Linked DNA regions of Mus musculus. Each later gene encodes a partner of the first gene's protein in a complex. Links are inferred from orthologs where the notes say so. Each region holds a gene or a part of one and is shown on either strand. Other genes may lie near its edges. The genes, in order: Stx12 and Vti1a.

The links.
Region 2: the proteins of Stx12 (region 1) and Vti1a are in contact, whole or in part, in a crystal structure (PDB 2NPS), measured with the Rattus norvegicus proteins. The link is inferred for Mus musculus from reciprocal best matches to the Homo sapiens genes STX12 and VTI1A. Residues at the interface, in NP_075228.2 of Rattus norvegicus: Glu185, Ile188, Gln189, Leu191, Glu192, Ile195, Leu196, Val198, Asn199, Phe202, Lys203, Leu205, Ala206, Ile209, His210, Gly213, Ile216, Asp217, Glu220, Val223, Glu224, Ser226, Glu227, Val230, Glu231, Ala233, Ser234, Asp235, Leu237, Gln238; in XP_038945999.1 of Rattus norvegicus: Arg131, Arg134, Ser135, Arg138, Leu139, Ala141, Gly142, Ile145, Ala146, Glu148, Thr149, Ile152, Gly153, Met156, Asn159, Leu160, Asp163, Arg166, Arg169, Ala170, Arg173, Leu174, Glu176, Thr177, Asn180, Leu181, Lys183, Ser184, Ile187, Leu188.

The regions. Positions count from the first base shown.
Region 1 is NC_000070.6:132,878,798-132,888,915, forward strand, and holds the start of Stx12 (syntaxin-12), read right to left. Parts: upstream 5,662-10,118; 5' UTR 5,569-5,661; coding exon 5,451-5,568; intron 1-5,450. UniProt on the Homo sapiens protein: SNARE promoting fusion of transport vesicles with target membranes. Together with SNARE STX6, promotes movement of vesicles from endosomes to the cell membrane, and may therefore function in the endocytic recycling pathway.
Region 2 is NC_000085.6:55,495,149-55,504,710, reverse strand, and holds part of Vti1a (vesicle transport through interaction with t-SNAREs homolog 1A), read right to left. Parts: intron 6,201-9,562; coding exon 6,130-6,200; intron 5,469-6,129; coding exon 5,407-5,468; coding exon of another isoform or gene 5,403-5,406; exon of another isoform or gene 5,396-5,402; intron 2,385-5,395; coding exon of another isoform or gene 2,087-2,384; exon of another isoform or gene 2,041-2,086; intron 1-2,040. UniProt on the Homo sapiens protein: V-SNARE that mediates vesicle transport pathways through interactions with t-SNAREs on the target membrane. These interactions are proposed to mediate aspects of the specificity of vesicle trafficking and to promote fusion of the lipid bilayers.

The DNA.
Region 1 (10,118 bases):
TGTCTGCTAACAACCACCTACTAACAACAGTCCATCTTCTGACCTATGAGGGTACCAGGCATGCATGCAGAACACATACATACACACAGGCAAACACTCATAAACAAACATATTTAATATAAAAAGCATTACTTGCACTAAAACATAAAACAAGGCCATGTGTGATAGCATGTGGTTTAATCCCAGCACTCAAGAGGCAGAGGCAGCCAAAACTCTATAGTTTTCAGCCAACCAAGAACACATAGTGAAAACCTCTCTCAAAAAAACCAAACCAACAAATAAATAAATAAATAAATAAATAAAAAGATAAGATAAAGGAAATCCACAGACCTAAAAAAACTATCTAGACCAAACAAGGTCTTTGCACTGATTTTGAAAATGAAGTCAATTCAATGTTCTATACACAAAATTAGGCTTAAACAATGATATTACATAGAAATTGTAAAAACTACCTACTATAGGCATCACAGATACACATATTTATTGAGACTGAGCTACATCCCCAGCCCCCATTATAAAGATAGAGTCTCTATAAATTGAACAAGTTATTTCCATTTCCTGATGGGCTAGACTCAAACTCCTGATCCTCTTGCCTCAGTCTCTTGAAGGCTGGGATTTAACTTTTGAAAATGGGTTTGTCAGGAGTGATATAGTACATATCTTCAGCACTTGAGAGTCAGAGACAAGAAGGTCAGGAGTTAAAGGTTACATGAGACCTTTTATTACACACACACACACACACACACACACACACCCCAAAAATTCAGTCACTAAACAGGATAGTAAATCTGTATACTAACAACCAAAGGCGTAATCTCCCACTTTGCACAAGAGTGACAGCACATGTGGCTGTTAAGAACACGGGTTCTGAATTGAGACTGTGTTCTTGTTTTTAAGACAGGTTCTCTCTCCATATGTAGCCCTGCATAGCCTGGAACTCTCTATGTAGGCTAGAGTATCCCAGAACTTGCCGTTTTGCCCAGGCTGCCCTTGAACTCCATGTGATTCCCCTGACTCTGCCTCTCAAGGGACAGAATCACGGGTGTGGAGCACATGATCAGCAGGCCTGCCTATGCCTGACTGTTGCTTCCAGCACTTCCCAGCGGAGTGATCTAAAGTAAATGATGACCGTCTTCTGTCCTGGTTCCACACCTAAGGAATGACAGTAACAAGGGAAGCTTCGGTTGGTTGATGTGAGAATGAAATGAGATGATTTGGGCTAAGTTTAGAAAGCCGTCTGCCACATAAAAGCACTCAACTAAGGACAGCTATTATTATCAAACTCAAGACCAAGAAGAATGTACTTAGCAATGATAAAATCAATTAAGTACATACTGAATGCCAAAGCATCCACTGCTGTGCCAGGCACTGTCTAAAGAGAAATGTATAATGCATGGTCCTTCATCCCACCAAACCAGTACTGCTCTAGGGACAAGGTCAAAAAGCTTGTCTTAATTAAGGGATATAGAATATAAGTAGATATTAAACTGTGAGAAAAAAACTGGTTATGTTTAAGAAAAAAGAACCAAATGACAGATAACATGTTTTATGTATTCACTCAATAGGTAGTAGGCACTGTCTTTTTAAGACAGGGTCTCCCATAGCCAAGCTGGTCTCAAACTTGCTATGTAGCTGAGGCTGGCCTTGAATTCCAACCTCCTGCCTGCACTTTCCAAAGGTGAGGATTACAGGAACCCATCTTGAAGCGCACACTCTTTTAACACTTCACATAAGTTATCTCAGTTAGTTCTCAGAACCCTATGAAATAATTATGACCATAGACCAGGAAACAGCAGGAGGCGTAAAGCAAAATTCACCAAAACATCACAAAACTAGCAGGAAGCTGAGGGAAAACCCAAACTTAGTTTACAAACAGTTAAAAACTCAAAGGTTTCTTAGTTTTTCAGTAAATAATGCAGAGCCTGGTGTAGTGCCACACCCCTTTAGTCCCACCACTCTGGAGGCCAAGGCAGGTGAATCTCTGTGAGTTCCAGACCAGCCTGGTCTCATAGTCAGGTTCAAGTCAGCCAGAACTACACAGCGAGATCCTGTCTCAAAAACAAAAAAGCACTTAAGAGGCAGAGTCTGAAGCTAGCCTGGTCTACAGAGCAAGTTCCAGGACAGCCAGGGCTACAGAGACACCCTATCTCAAAATAAAATAAAATAAAATAAAATAAACCAAGCCAAACAAATAAAATGACAGAGACCTCATTCACTCAAATTAACTGGCTACAATTAGTAAGCTTCCATGTGCCCTGACCCCTGGCTACCTCTCTGATGTCTTTCCCCATTTGCTCCCTACCTTTAACGCAGCCACACCTTCCTCCTTGCTATTCTTTGTCACATGAAAGTCCTTGCATTTGCCCTCAGCACACACTGCCTTTCTCCACTACTCACCATGCTCCCTCCATTCTGAAATCTGCTCATTCCAACATCATCCTACCCAGGCAGTGGTGGTGCAGGCTTGAATCCCAGCATTCAGGAGGCAGAGGCAGGTGGATCTTTGAGTTCGAGGACAGCCTGGTCTATAGAGCAAGTTCCAGGACAGCCAGGACTACAGAGAACCCTGTCTTGGAAAAAATAAATCATCTCCCCAGAGAGGCCTTCCTCACCTGAGGATAATAATTCGTCCCTTCTCGCTTCCCTCCATGGACTTAGCCTGTTCCCTTTCCTTCGTACCACCTGCTATTACTTGATATTATTGGGAAATACATGCAAAGATCCACACAATGCCAGGCAGCAGTGTGTTCTCTGCTCATCACCAGTGAACATCAGTGCTCAAAGAATGCTTGTCGCACGCTGAACGGAAGAACTCATCATATGCTTGGGACTAAGATAAATGACAGAAAAATAAGGATGAATGAATCGTATTTCCTACCTCAAGCAAGCTAACAATCTAACAGGGAAGATGTTCATCTTATCGCGAGAAAAAAACCCACACACTCAGCTAGGCAACCCTTTAGCCTTTCTCAGTCTGTTTCCTAGCTCATAGACTGGGAATGTTTGTAATTACTCCACAGGATTGTTACAGATTAGAATATTACATGTAAAGTACTTTTCATACGGCCTGGCACACGATGTACTTAAACAGTAGCTAGTAACATTATTAACTATTGACTCTAAGGAACCCCTTGACCCCAATGCCTAATCAACGGCTAAATCAGTAGCTATCACCAAAGAAACTGCTCCTAGACCACACCGACACCTTTTTTGTTGTTGTTTTGCTTTAAGACTCACAGCTCAGGCTGGCTTTGAACCTGGAGACTGTCTTGCCTTGGCCTCCTGAGAGCTAGGGTTACAGACCTGACTCATCACACCCAGGCTCTGGTTTTAAACTCCTTCTCTGTTCCTCCTTCCCTTTCTCCCTTTTTCCCTTTGAAAACAGACTCACAATGTGGCCCTGGATCACCTTGAACACACTAGGCAGTCTAGATTTGCTTCTAAATCATGATAATCCTCCTGCCTCAGCCTCTCAAATGCTATCGTGTACGACTATGGCCAGTTTCAACTCTAATTTTGATTTAAGTAAACACAGATTTGCAGTTAAAAGAATCTGTATCAGTTCCTATGCTTACTATACAACTTAATACTCAAATATGAAATATTCCACATACAGTCATTTAAATTAGGTTAGTCTCAATGAGAAAAAAAAAAAAAACCCACAAATTCTCTTTCTTTCTTTCCTCTCTTTCTTTTCTTCTTTCTGGTGGTTCAAAACAAGGTTTCTCTGTGTAGCCCCTGGCTGTCCTGAAACTCTGTAAACTGGCTAGCCTCTCAAACTCTGAGATCTACCTGCCTCTGCCTCTCAAGTACTGGAATTGAAGGCATGACCCCGCCCCCAACACCTGGCACAAAATTTTCTTTATTATTTTTGTGTGTATGATATGTGGAACATACATAGAACTAATGTAAACAGACACATTGTGTGTGCCAGGGAACGAGTGTGGCTGAGTGTGGAGGTCAGAGTACAGCTCTGTGGAGTTAATTTGCTCCTTCCACGTTCATCTGGGTTCTGGGGCTCAAATCAGATGGTCAGGCCTGCACAGCAAGCACTTTACCTGAACCATCTTGCCAGCCCCTTGAAAAGAATTTTCTGATTTATCCTGTATTATAGCTCCTTAACAAAAGGAAACTGGGACACAAAGTACCATACTGTCTAGTCATCAATTATTATTGTGTTTTTCATATCTGGGTTAACAAGCTGAGTATTCGTACTACCTCCATACACCCAGGCCTAACCCTTCCTGCCTGAAACTTTCTACCTCTCAAATCCTACAGTATACATTTAGATATAAAAGCAAAGTGACAAGCTGGGTGTGGTGGCGTACATTGTTAATCCCAGCACTTGGGAGGCAGAGGCAGGTGGATCTCTAATTTTGAAGCCAGCCTGGTACACAGAGTGAGTTCCAGGATAGTCAGAGCTACAAAAAAACTGTCTCAAAAAGAAAATAAAAGCACAGTGGTAGCTTATGCTTTAAAGCTTAGGACATAACTGCAATTCAGAACTGACTCTACTTATTAACAGTATAGCTAAGCTCACAAAAAAAAAAAAAAAAAAAAAAAACAGAATAATAAACAACACAGATGGTTGTCACCATTTTTAAAGTAAAATTGCTTCTGTTGTTCTGTTTACAGGGCTCTGGGATGATTCTGAAACTCAAAAACAGCCTGTACTTGACTCTAGCTACAGAAGGGAGTTTTAAGGTAAGCAGTTACAAACTGACTTGGCCCAACCCTGCCATCTCTTACTTGGTGTGTAATTGTGGCCAAGAGTAGCTCTCAACGGAGGCAGAAGAGGACATCTTCATGCTTGAAATGGGAAAAACGTTCGCTACAAAGACAACCTAACCTAAAATGTTCCCGGTGCATTCTGTGCCATAAAGCAGCAGTCCTCCCGTCCCTTAAATGCCAGGCACTGACTGACGTCCAGGTTAATTACAGGAAACACAGTGTATTAAGTCACTCGAACGCACGCATTCTCCACTTCCCTTAATTGAAAGTTGCTGATGTCTGAGGACCCAACCGCTGAGCTGAATGTGAACCTAAAGTCGCAACCAAGTAAGCACCCCCTGATCGGAACTGAGGAAAACAAGGTGGGTGGGGAGAGGGGGACGGCGACGACAGGAAAAACTCGGCTGACCACTGCGCCAAGTCAAGACTGCTGCTCACAGTCCTGGAGATGACACACACTCCCTCCCACCATCGGGGCTGTCGGCTCTGTTGACCCCCAACACCGTGAACTCTAACCGCCTAAGACAGGGGTGTGGACCTAAAGGGCCCGAGCCTGGCCGACCCAGGGAAAGGCAGCTCGCCGCGCCCAGAGTGGAGGCTCGCGACGGCCTCAAGGTGTGGCCTGAGCTGCGACCCAGACCGGGCTCCCCGACTTGGCAGCTTCACCACCGTCTGTCCCTCAGGCCGCCCCCAGCTCCCGGCTGGGTCCCCTCGCTCACTGGCTTGGCTGATCCGCTGGATGTTGCCACTGCATGTCTGGATGATGCTGTTGAAGTCCCGGGGCTGAGGCCCCGACGGCCCGGGGTTCCGATACATGTCTAAGGGACCGTAGGACATGACAGTGAGCAGAGACCGGGTCGCGCTTCGCGGCGCTCCTACCGGAAGCTGCCACTGACCGGGCCCAGCAGCTGAGAGGAAAACCGGGAAGAGAAAGGGCGGGGAAGGGACCGCGACTGCGTGCGCACTGACCCCCCGCCCATCGCGGTGCGCATGCGCGCGCTCCGCCCCATCCTGCAGTGCGCGTGTGCGGCTGGAATTGGCGGTGGGTCGTCTCTTGAGAGTTTTCGAACTGCTGGCGGTGAGCGTTCTCGCAAGACCCGACTCCTCCAGCTGTGAAGCCAGTACAGGACCGGACTTCTTCAGCCTGTCGTCTACAGACGGCGCGCCCCGCATTCCACGACCTTCCGGCCGCCAACACGCTCATCCGCATCCTGCTGCTCCCGCATCCTGCCGCTCCCGCATCCTGCTGCTCCGCGCGGCACTGTTGTTCAGGCACCCAGCAAGTTCTTGCTTTTCCAACCCATGTCAAAATCGAGGTGAATGCATGAGCATGGAATGGGACCAGTACACGTGCAGTTGTACCCGACAGGATTCGATGGTGAAAACTGTTCAACACCTAAATTTCTAGCAAGAATAAAGTTACTACTGAAACCATCCGCCAATACGGTGTGCCCCGTGCTTACCCACTTCAAGGGATTCTGGGACATTGTTGATTAACATTTCCTTCCTTTGAGGTCAGGCTGGTATACAGGGTGAGTTCCAGGACAGCCAAGGTTACATAGAGAAACCCTGTCTCGGAAAACCCACTCACACTCCAAACAAATAAAAACCATTCCCTTCCTGCGGAATTCAGTCATGAGATATGTTGCCAGCCAGATGGCATTTGATTGACAGCCCACCAACTTACAATGTGCACCACACCTACGAAAACTGGGCACCCTTCTCCAACCTCTCCTACTACATCAGAGCCTCTCCTCCTGTAACAGATGACTGCCTGACTCCCATCCTGTGAAAGGGAAGAAGAGGGTTTCTGATTCAAAAGATTATGGGGAAAATTCTAAGAAAAAAATTCATCCTTGACCCCCAGGGCTCGAATATGATATTCACATTCTTCGGCCAGCAATTCACCCACCAGTATCTCAAGACAGACCAGAAACAAGGACATATATTCACTAGAGGGCTGGGCCATGGAGTGGACATATAAGCCATGTTTATGGTAAAACTCCAGATAGACAGCATAAACTGCTCCTTTGCTTTCTCTTTTAATTATTTATTTTTATGCTCATTGGTCTTTTGCCTGTACCTGTGAGGGTGACAGAGCCCCTGGACCTGGAGTTACAGAGAGCTGTGAGCTGCCATGTGAATGCTGGGAATTGAACCTGTGTCCTCTGGAAGAGCAGCCAGTGTTCTTAACTGCAGAGTCATTTCTCCAGCCCCAAACTATGCCTTTTCAAGGATGAAAAACTCAAGTACCAGGTAATTGATGAAGAGGTATATTCTCCCATCAGAGAGATCAGGGACACTCAGGTGGAAGCAGACTGCCACTGCAAACCCCCAAATACCTGCTTTAGGGCAGATCTTGGGTTTGGCCACTGGTCATATGGTATAAGCTACACCATGAACCAGCACCACAAACCATTCTCACCGAAGCCTTACCAATCATTTGAAGAACTCAGGAGAAAGAGGCTGCTGAGTTGGAAGTTCTCTGTGGTAAAATTGATGCTGTTGGTGCTGGTTAAGAGCACTGACTGCTCTTCGATACGTTCTGAGTTCAATTCCCAGCAACCACATGGTGGCTCACAACCATCTATAATGAGAGCTGATGCTCTCTTCTGGTGTGTCTGAAGATAGCTACAGTGTACTCATATATACATTAAATAAATAAAATTTAAAAATTAAAAAAAAAAATCGATGCTGTCCTCCCCTGCTGATAGAAAAGCCTCTTCCAGGTGCTGTCTTTGGGGAAACCCTAGGGGAAATTGGGGCACCATTCTCCTTGGAAGGGCCTACATCAAACCCTATCTGTTCTCACTACTGGAATACTGGAAGCCAAGCTCTTTGGGGGAAGTGGGTGTTAAGATCATCAACACTGCCTCAATTTAGTGTCTTGTTTTATTTGGGGGGGTGTTCTAGACAGGGTTTCTCTGTATAGCCCTGGCTGTCCTGGAACTCACTTTGTAGACCAGGCTGGCCTCGAACTCAGAAATCCGCCTGCCTCTGCCTCCCAAGTGCTGGGATTAAAGGCATGCGCCACCACTGCCCGGCTTCAACTTAGAGTTTTAACGTTAGTAACATGAAGGGCTGTCCCTTCATTCAGTGCTCAGGGCTTCTCCAAACAAGCACATTACAAGTGCTTTAATTCCAGACAAATAGTGACTTAGATATCAGATCTCTCCAGGTTTGTGACATGCTAGACAGGACAATGAAATGAAATATTTGGGGATCCCATTGGATAAGTTTTCCTAGCCATGTATCTCCCCAAAGTCCATGACATCGTGCAAGAAATTTTGATTTGCATAAAAATGTACCAGACCACCCCAACCCTTGCTTCCTATTCTGCTCTATTTTCAGAACCCAGGCTCAAATATAGGAAAATTAAGTAGCCTTGACATTCAGGTCTGTAGCCAATCAGTGATTTTAAGGGTTTCAAAGTACTTTTATTTCTCCCTCCACTCCTAACTAAGCAATAAAGTAATATCGTATTTGGGGGGCACATACTGTGTGTGAATCCTTAGGTCACTGATTCATAAACACTTCACAGTAAGGAAGCATCCCCATTTTTATCTTTAAACATTTTTGGTCTGGTTTACTTTTTTATTTGTTTTTCCAAACAGGGTTTCTCTGTGTAACCCTGGCTGTCCTGGAACTTACTCTGTAGACCAAGCTGGCCTCGAACTCAAAGATCTACCTACCTCTTTGCTCTGCCTCCCAAGTGCCAGGATTAAAAGTAATGGCATTTTGGCTGGACAGTGGTGGCGCACAACTTTAATCCCAGCACTTGAAAGACAGAGACAGGCAGAGCTCTGTGATTCAAGACTACATAGCAAGTTCTGGGCCAGCCAGGAATACACAGTGAGACCCTGTCTCAAACCAAAACAAAGAGCCAGGAATAGTAGTACAAGTCTTTAATCCCAGCACTCAGGAGACAGAGGCAGGCAGATCTCAGAGTTTGAGGCCAGTCTGGTCTTCAGAGTGAGTTCCAGAACAGCCAGGGCCACACAAAGAAACTATGACTTGAAAACCCCAAAACCAGGCTGGAGAGAAATGGCTCAGGGGTTAAGAGCACTGACTGCTTTTCCAGAGGTCCTGAGTTCAATTCCCAGCAACCACATGGTGGCTCTTTCATGGGATCCAATGCCCTCTGCTGGTGTGCCTGAAACAGCTACAGTGTACTCATATACATTAAATAAGTAAATAAATAAAGTGTTGGGCTGGAGAGATAGCTCAGTGGTTAAGAGCACGGACTGCTCTTCCAAAGGTCCTGAGTTCAAATTCCAGCAACCACATGGTGGCTCACAACTATCTGTAATGAGATCTGATGCCCTCTTCTGGTGTGTCTGAAGTCAGCTACAGTGTACTTACATATAATAAATAAATAAATCTTTAAAAATAAATAAAGTATTGGTTCAAAACCAACTCTAAGATCTGATGCCCTCTTCTGGCCTCTTCAGGCATCAGGCAGGCACACACATGGTGCACATGTAGGCAAAAACATTCATATACATAAAATGAATAAATTTTTAAAAAGCTGGACATCATTGCACAGGCCTGCAAACAGACATTAGGGAACAGATAGAGTGGGTCCCCAGAGTTCATTACTCAGTCAGCTTAGCCAAAGATCAGTGAGAGAGCCTGTCTCAAGGCATTAATGCAAAGAGCAAGAGAAGAAGAAATTCTATATCTTCTGAGTGTGCACACGCAGGCTCACGCACCTGCGAATATATGTGCATGCACCATTCACACACACAACAACACATACACAAAGAAACTAATGCCTCCTTATGATTCATCACTTTATGTCAAACCCTAGGTTCCATTGCACAGCTTTAACAGATTCGACTCCTCACATGAGGCCCTGAAATGTATCAGTTTGAATGTAGTCATAAACTCTGAGTCACTAATAATACCCTGATGTCACATTAAGGACAGAAATCAAACACTTCCCCTGTGTGTCCTTTAACTGAGAGTGAGCATCTTTTGGCTGAAGCCTCTCCTGCACTCTCCCTGTGCCTTCCATTGTCTGTCTCAAAGGGCTGCTGCCCCGTATCTCCCAAACAGCCCAGAAAGCATGGGAGAAGGAATGAAAGACACGGGATACTTTGTTCAAATGCCACTGCCATCATTTATAGTAGATTCTCACTTTTATGGTAGATTCTCATTTACTTTTTTTTTGTTTTTTGTTTTTGTTTTTGTTTTTTTGGTTTTTCGAGACAGGGTTTCTCTGTATAGCCCTGGCTGTCCTGGAACTCACTCAGTAGACCAGGCTGGCCTTGAATTTAGAAATCCGCCTGCCTCTGCCTCCCAAGTGCTGGGATTAAAGGCGTGTGCCACCACCGCCCAGCTTATTTATTTATTTTATGTATATGAATACACCATAGCTCTCTTTA
Region 2 (9,562 bases), on another chromosome or scaffold:
GGAGGGACTGTTGAGGCCACAAGGAACAGAGGGACAGTTGACCACATAGATTATTCAAGTGTTCATTTTTCAATTTATGTTAAAAGTGTCATCACTCAAAGGATTTGTTTAGTGTGCAGTTGTTTCACAGAAGAAACGGACTCATATAAGGTCACAGAGCAGCGGAACTCATATAAGGTCACAGAGCAGTGGAACTCGGCGCTGTGACGTCAGGCCGGTTTGTTCTCCCTCTGTCACTGGCCACTGAGAACTGTTCTGAGGCAGAACTTGTCATCAGGAACCTCCTGGAGTTGGCTCGGAGGAACCAGCTGGCTTTAAAGCCTGGATCTTCTCCTTGCTGATGGCCTTAGGAACTCTCCTCTCTCCTGCACGACAATGCCAGGTGGTTTAGGGCTAAATCAGGTCTCAGGCATGGAGTACAATACAGGGGCAGATACGCATGAGGGCTCGCTCTGTGAGAGCTAGTCAGGAGTGGCAGCCTTGGTGTATCGGTGAGTGATCTCAGAGCAAGAGCCTGGCTATTTTATTTTATTTTTATGTTTACTTTTTGGTTGTTGTTGCTTGTCTATTGAGGCAATGTCTTTCCCCCTAGGTTGGTCTGAAATGACCCTTTAATGTGAATCCTGGGCCTGGCCCAGTACACAAGAGGTTATTAGAAGAATCTGACTAGGGAAACAAAGTTATTCTTTAACTTGCTGGCAACACTACCGTTTTGGCCTTGAAGAGGCCACAAGACAGAGGCAGCAATCCAAGTGATGAGCAGGACATTTAGTCACAAACTGGGCCAAGACAGAAGCGTCCCCTTCTGGTGGCTGCATGCACCTAGCCCAGGTCCCACCTCGAAGCCTGAGAATGAGCAGCAGTGCAGTGCTTTTAGTTGGAGGAGGAACAGTTGGGGGGGGGGGGGCGCTGGAGAAACTCCAGGCTGAAACACTTGAGATCCTGTCCATGTCAGGGTACACCTGTCACCACTTAGGGAATGGAGGGTGACAGTGAGAGAGAAGAGAGGGATCCACTCGGGAGAAGCGGCTCCTCTGGTGCGCGAGACCCAGGAGCACATTCCCACGGCCCCTCCCTTACTGCCCTGAAAGCCCTGCTGAGTCTCAGATACGACAAGATCGCCGAGAACACAGCACAGGGTTTGCTGTGGACTAAGGTCAAGGAAGAGTCACCTTCTACAGCAGCATAAACATCTAGCCATGGCCTATGTAAAATAAGTCTGTCTGCTCTGAAAACCAAGTGTCTGCAGTAGACTGATCTCACACCTACCCTTACGAATTGTCTGCCTGCACGTTGGCGGTTTTGTCTGTCATTTTACCTACACAAGCAGACAATGTGTAGACATAAACTGTGATTGTAAGGATAGGTGCTGGTGTTCCCCGGGCTCATGTCACTTGACAGGCACACTCAGCAATATATGACAAACAGTGCTGCAGGGCCCCTGCATTTGCAATAGTCCTTTGGTCTTTCATAGGTCAGCTGTAGAAGATGCACTGCCAAGGCCCTGTGAAAGGAGGTCCTATAAGCCACTGGGAGACAGAGCTCACTGTTAATGGGAGCACTCTGATTGTATGTATGGCAGCCATTGTCAAAGTCTATGACACTGAGCTCATCAAATGGAAGCTACTTCCTGCTGTAACCCAGACACTCGCACAGATGATGCAGCTGGCAATTACAGTTGTAACATGTCTTCCAACTTCACGCTAAAGGAGCTCCCAGACTACACTTCTGCTACATTCTATAGGAATACAGGTTTTTCTTGAAAAGATTTTAGTAATGACAAGTTATGAATTATTATCTACTTCTTCAGAGGTAAAAGAAACAGAATCATAACTTCCTTTCTTTTTAAATAAAAGTCCTGAAAAATCTCATATTATTATTGATTCTCACCAGTATTTGATATGATAAGAATCCCAGATACAGGTGGTGGTGGCACACGCCTTTAATTCCAGCACTCAGAAGGCAGAGGGAGACAGATCTTTCAGTTCAAGGCCAGCCTGGTCTACAGAGTGAGTACTAGGACAGCCAGGGCTACACAGAGAAACCCTGTCCTGAAAAACAACAGTAACAGCAAAAAGAATCCAAGTTAAAAAAGAAAAGAAAGGATTTCTAGTAAGATGCATAAAACATACATGCTTGCTAGCACGCACATGGCGTTTACACACAGGAAGAAACACCTGGGCCCCCAGTGATACCCACCTGAGAAAAACCAATTACAATGATGGAATTTTGTGAGGCTCAATGAGAAATCCATTCCTCGGCCCCAGTTATCACATGAATGGCTATTTGTTTTGTGGCTATTTTCATTGTTATCTGAATCCACTTTATTTAAAGTCTGTCTAGAGGCCAGGAAACGAACAGGCTGTCCCGAGGTAGCTTTCCATCTATGTCAAGAGAGAAGAAAAATGACTTTCCAGGAATCAGCTATGGCTTCACTCTGATGTCATGTTTTACTATTATAATTCTGAATGGAACAGTTTTCTCCCTTCTTTTCTTCCTTTGACAAGACGGTGTAGCTACATGAAAGAAAGTTTCTGTTTGACTGGACCAGTTGCTAGTTCACTAAACGAGACATGGCAATCCTTTTCTGCATAACATTTTTAGTTTATGATTAAACACACCATATTCTATTTCCCTAATTTATCTTTTTCTGGCTGTTGGTGCTTCTGGAGTCTCTTGGGAATCTGCAAGGAAGAGTCAGAGGTGGAGGGCTGAAGCACTTTCCCTGAGAATGAGTTAATTTCTATGGTGTACATATTCTCTGTACACTGAAGCACCATAAAAGCAAAGAAAGATGTGTTTGTATTTCCTGGTCCCTGGGCTCACACAGACATTAAATATTTACTGAAGACACGAGTAAGCAGGGGAGAGGGGAGAGGAAAGAGAGGTACACAAGGGAGGAAGGAAGCTAACAGAAGACCGGGAGGCATGGGTGGGGTGGGTCAGAGGCTCCGGGTCCTATAAACGCCGCTTACTATTTGGTCGCTCTCATATATGACTAAGTAGACACAGGTACAGACTTTGGTAAAGATGAACATGGGTCCTCCTGACTTCATGACTGATTGATTAGCCATTGCTAAGCAACCTGGCACCGATTATGGATGATGCCCTGTCATCTCTGTTCATTGTACAATTTTAAAAACAAAAATTGAAGCAACCAGGAACTTTTCTTTATTAGAATTCTCTGGTTTGTATTTGTGTTTGTTTCACAGAATTTACCATATTAAAAATTAATGGGTTTATTCATTCATAGGTAAATGCATGATCAAAGACATTCTCTTCCTTCACACATCTGTGAAGATGAACTGTGAGCCCAGGGTTTAATACCAGCCTCCCCCCTCAGTCACAAGCACCTGTTGCTACTCGATGTGGCTGTGATGTGCAGTGTTAGTGTGGACAAGGAGTGTCCAGGGTGGGTTCTGCAATTCCCTCCCTCGGTGCTGGGCAGCGACTGCGATGTGAACCGGGGGATGGGAGGGAGGACAGACATCAATCAGCAAGGGCCTGAGGTAGAAAGACTGTGGTCCGCAAATGACCACTGGGCCCATATCCTGAGAGACTTACTCCCCCCCCCCCACCATTAAATTATATACTTTTATGCTTCATATCTGTGATTTTGCTACTATTATGAATTATAGCATAAATATCTGATATATAGGATATCTGATATGTTACCCTCAAAGGGGTCATGACTGAGAGGTTGAGAAAGGACACATTCCAAAAGGAGGTGACAAAGTGGAGAGCTGCATTTGCTTACAAAGGGAAGCCCAAGTAGCTGGCAGCCCTCAGGAAGCCACCTTGGGGGTGTGATTCCCCTCCAGAAAGCCCAATGGGTGCAGATTGTTGGTGCTCCTACCCGCTCTAAATGACTTGCAAATTTATTCAAACACCATATGAAAGGATGCTCTATCTGTTGAGACAACTGTCTGCACTGTCCTGTACCAAGGGTGAGGTACATCAAGCAGAAACATGGGCAGAAGCACATGGGTTTAGAAAGCCATAAATCCTTATTTGAATCTGCCAACCTGAAAGCCACGAAGAGCCAGAATAAACTATTTTTCCTAAATGCTACATCTGATTAAGCCATACCATGAAGTGACAGCTGAACTTTAACATTAATATGATATTATTTAAATAACCACATGATTTTTTTTTTACACTAAAAATGATGAATGATTTCTGGACAGCTCAATCGACAGAAAGCAGGAGGACTCTTTAATGAGATTTGACAAAATGGAGACATATGCAGAAGGCTCGTTACAGCTCATATCGCAGGGGCCTCCAAGGGAAGCAGGAGGCACAGCTTTCTTTCTTTTTATTGTCTCTAGGCACTGATGCATTCCTTCAGTTGCTAGTGCTCTTCTCTTTGGACTCTTAGTCTTTCTTAGGTCACTTATGCACTGCTCTTAAAGCAGGGCCCTGCAGGTTTTTGTCTGAGTTGGGATGGTGCTTCCAGCGAAAGGAAAGGGTGGGAAGCAGCTCGGTTGGTATCACGCTGGGAACTGCAGGTTCACCACTGATGGTGTCATGGAGAAATCACATCAGCCCCAACAAGTAACAATTCTACACTTATTTGGGTCTTACACCGTGAACCTTTAGCATTGCAAACAGCTTTAGCATGTTGCTATACATGGATGTACAACAAGCAGAGAGGGCTTCAGCTGTGCCATACAGCTGTCTGAAAAGAAGGGTTGGCTATTCCTCCGCTCCCTCACAACACTCCGCGTCCACCTAGCCACTCAGAGTTCCACGCTCGCATGACCATGGTAAACCATCCTTTTACTCTTCAGAGCATTGGTGTAAAGTAAGAGCGGAACAGACTTAGGCTATGACCTATCTTTATTCATTTACCATTTTAAATTATCCGAATATTTTCCATCAACCAAAGCTTAGTTACACAAGCAGTGCTTAAAATATTTGTTGTGGGCCCAATGGATTGAGCTTACTCTGATACCTGCGGCATTCTTATCAATGTTAAGTATCGACCTGAGTCACCACACTGTTTCCCAAGCAGCCTTCTCAGCAATGAAACAAAGAGCAGAACCGGTACCTAGTGTTCTCCGGGTGATGGCAGGCCCGCACTTCCGCCGTCAGAAGTGAGAGGAAAGTCGGCATGCTCTTGCCATGGGCCTTCCTCAGGCTATAAAAAAATGCTTCTTGTCTAACCCTAATTTTTTCCATAGCTTGAGGTAGGCCCCTCAGCTCAAGCTTGTCTCTAATCTGAGTAACCCATTATATGTCTCTGACAAGAAAGGGTTAACATCAGTGCTCTGTTATTTGGAGAGGGTGTTGACCCAGCCAAGGAGGGAGAGGCGGGATCCCAGCAGCTGGCTCAGCCCCAGGGAAGGAAGAAAACACAGTTAAGAAGAGAGGGAAACAGACGATCGCTCCCTACCTGGCTCTTACCTTCGCAGCATCCCCGTCAGAATCCGAGAGCTCTTCCCCAGGTTTGCATCTGCGTCCCGGAGCTGCGTGAGGGCAGCATGGTGGAAGCAGAGGAAAATGGAGTTAGATGATTCTCAGGCATCTGCTGAAGGGTCACAGCTCCACAGGAGAAAGCCAAGCAGTGACACACACACACACACACACACACACACACACACACACACACACACAGACTCTCAGCTCCAGAGACTAAAGAGCTCTAGGAGGGCTTCCAGGAGCTTGACGGTGGATGCTTGAGCCAGATTTAAAAACGAGTGCCTCACACACAGACAGGGCTCACCATACCTGTGGTGATTAATTTTTAATATGAGTATGCACAGTCTTAAAAGTAGAAATGGAAACTGAATGAAGCCGAGGAAGGTGAGGGCCAGTTTCAGAACAAAATCTCTGTTCTTTGAAAGATTGATACACTCCAAACTCTCCCCCAGTGGCTTCCTTTCTGTAGTCACAGAGTTATTTAAATATTTACTTGGGGGCCTTCGGAGATGAGGAGAGAGCCAGCTGCTTTTCCCTTCATCCCAAGCCCTTGCTTTCTCTTCTTCCACATGGCCACCTACCTACCTGACTGTCCTTACACACACATCCTCATGGCTATGCTGTCACTGTCTTGTGTCCGTCCCAACAGCCTCTTATCCATGCCTTCTCATTTATGAACGTGTAAATGGCGGGATGATGTATACTCACTCGGTCACGTGCCCGCTGTATCTTTTCTCTGTCATGACTCAGGTTTTCCAACATCTCTTGGCCGATTTGCTCTATGGAAAAGAAGAGAAAATGTAAAGAATGGCACCTTGGGGTGCATGGAGAGCACTCAATATACCCCCCAAAGTACTAGGACGATCACAGATATAGAACCAAATAAAGGGGTGTGCCTTACATACCAGATATGTTTTAACTAATGTATTTGAAAAATACAGTATCTGATAAATTTCCCATCTTGTGGATGACTGGGTGCGATTTAAAAAAATCCAACAAGCAGACTGTAGCCCATGTGGCATCAATGACTTAGGGGTAATGCGACTTGTCCAAGGCCACTCCAGGAAATTCCTAGCAAGATGGAGGGCCTAGGTGTAATGATTAAGTACTTCATCACGGAGGAGTACAGCCTTGGATTTTACACTCTGAGAGTAACTCGGAGGGGTCCTGTTCTCCCTTACGGCACTGCTTACCAATGTAAGTCGATATCCATTTAGAAAAACTGTGATTTCAATGCATGGGACTCTTAACTTTTCTCACCTCCAGCATTTTCTCCTGGAGGCAAGAGCCCTTTTATGTTCTATTCGCTGCTGTAGATTCTTGAGTCAAATCAGGTGAGGGACAGTTCAACTTCCAAATTCTTAGACCCAAACACCACTTAGCGTTTGTTAAAGCCATGCTGCTGCCTGCAACGGGGATTTCCCCTGTCACCATGTCTCAGATGCTCGGATGGCCCTTGGCAGGCTCTGCTGTGACTACAGATATTTAACAAACACTACGTAAGACCTGATCTTACGTATAGACAGCTTTTTGAATGATTTCCTTCCCCCAGTCTCATTCGCTGTCACCAGGAGGTGCCTATCTTACGGAGAAAGAACTTGGACTTGCCTTCATCAGGATCGGGTGCCAGAACAATGCTCGGATGCACTGCTGCACACGCACCCGTCACCCCGTCATGCCCGAGAACGCCTTCCTAGCTCATGTTCTGCACGTTACTCTATGGTACATTATGAGCACCACAAATCATTATTTCAGGAAAACACTAATACTTCCTATCAAAGCAGACCATATAAGAATACATGATTTCAAATGGAAGAGGTTTCTGATACTGTGTCTAACACCTCAGTCAGTATTTATGGAAGAAATGAAAGAATGAGATTAAAAAAAGATTAAGTCCCAGCAAGGTTTCCAGTTCCTGCTCAGGCTCTTCCGCACAGCCCTGGAGAAGGTGATGCTGGAAAGCAGGTGTAGGAGCCTCGAGCCCACCAGGTTCTCCAGGGGAAAACTCCACTCTGAACTGATCTATAGTCCTCTACTCAAGCAACGAGTGGACTAGGAGGTCAAGAGTCAGGGATGTTCCTGGAGTCATAAGCCACACCCACAAACTCCTTGCTTCCTGGGTGGGATGTGATTTCTTAGCTGCTAGCTTATATTTTAATACATCAGTAGAGAAAATTCCAGGCAGGTAGATTAGAAATGATAACTCTTATGGACAAAACAGACACAAAGAGAGCAAAACTTGTGTGTCAAACAAAGCAAACCAGAGGAGATTGCTTTTAACACAGTCATTTGCTTCCAGCACAGCTGTCTATCTGTAACCTGTCCCATGAATCTGAAGGCACCCGGCTTGCATGTGGTGCACAGACTTGCATACGGACAGAATAGTTGCACACATAAAATAAAGCTAATAAATATTATTTGAAAGAAAGAATTCAAGTGCACAGACCTGAAACCATGGCAACTGTGACATGCCACGTCTACACTCCTTAGTTCCTTAAATTGTCTTGAGGTCTTTGGTATGAACAGCTGCAATGCACTTACGGTGCAGTTTAAGACATGTACACTTCATAAATAGCATCGTTCTGACCATTAAACATCTTGAGGTTAGGAAACAATGGGAAGCACACAATAAAACCGATTTCGGCATGCTGCAGCTCTGCATGTCAGCACAACGTGATGAATGAATTCCTGGAAGGAAGACTTCCTTCCTGTCCTTCCATCCTCTCCACAGAGGTCCTGGGACTCATCCCGGGAATACAGCTCTCAGACATGTAAAATGAATTGTCTTTACAATTACTCAGAATCAATCATGGAGTCAGGCCACGGCCCTTGCGAGGGGCCTTTGGCAGCACTGCGTCTCCTCTTCATCCCTTTGCAGAGTATACAATAGGCATTCAATGCTTTCCTGTCTCTGGTCGGAACTAAGAAGGAAATAGGTAACCACAAATCCAGCAAGACGCTTCCTGCAGGACCAGCCTGGCATCTCCTTGTAGATAAGATCTGGACGGAGCAGTGCCTATCTCAGAGAGCATCATGTCTCTTCCTTCATGAAGTGATAAAAACATTTGACAGGCTGTGTTCATCCATCATGAGGCAAACACAAGTGAGCCCATGGAAGAAACTAGATCTGAACTTCAGAAAGGGATGAATCAGAATATTCTCCAGGAACAGTTAGGCGTGACTCAAGTTAACATCACGCTACAAATGTAGCTGAAGAAAACGGTGCCTCGGATCTAATTCAGCACAGTATGTTCCATCTGATAAGTTCAATATATATATATATTTTTCAATTTGAGCCATTATGCTATGAGCCGTACATTCTCCAGAAGGTACTGATTATTCCCAAGCACAACTGTACTTAACTTTATTTTTACAACCTTCGTTAAGGATGTGGTTTCCAGAAAATTATTTTTAAAAGTGAAGGAAGCCAGTTAAAGTCTTCTTTCAATTGCCCAGAGGAGACAAGGTTATTTCCTGACACTTGAAAACTCCACTAGCAATCCAGGAGCAGTGAGAGGCATCCACAATGCCCCAGCTGTTACTTACATCTGTGGGCACGTATGTACAGAAACGCGCAGCAGAGCTGTCTCCAGCTATGGTGAAACGCGTGCTTCACGGACTGGAGAGAGAGACTGCACAGTCGGTGACTGCATGGTATTTATACCAACAATCTCAATTCGGGACAGGTGACTGGGAAACTTCTGGCTACTGAGTCTAACATGGGGGAGACAGCATGCTGTTTTGGAAAGCTGCAGTTAGAGGGGTGAACACAGCCTTCCAGATCTGTCTCTCTGTCATTTGGAATGTGTCCTTGGACAATGGGTCTGGTCCTGTGCCCCAGACTTAAGGGTTACACTCAGTACTGAAGACTCTTTAGAGTTCCTGACTCAGGGAAGGTGGTTTACATAAAGACAGGGTTTGTTTGTTTGTTTGTTTGTTTTGGTTTTCTTTTTCTTTTTTTCTTTTTAACCATCTCTCGTCATTTGAGACTTAAGACATGAGGGGCTTTGGCTTCTACTGAGATGGAGGAAGTGCTCGAATTCAGGACAACCTCCAGGGAAAGAAGAAAAACCAGACACAAGAATTGCTAACCTTCTGGAAGGAAGACAAGTACAGGAGATGCAGTAAAGCTTTGATGAGT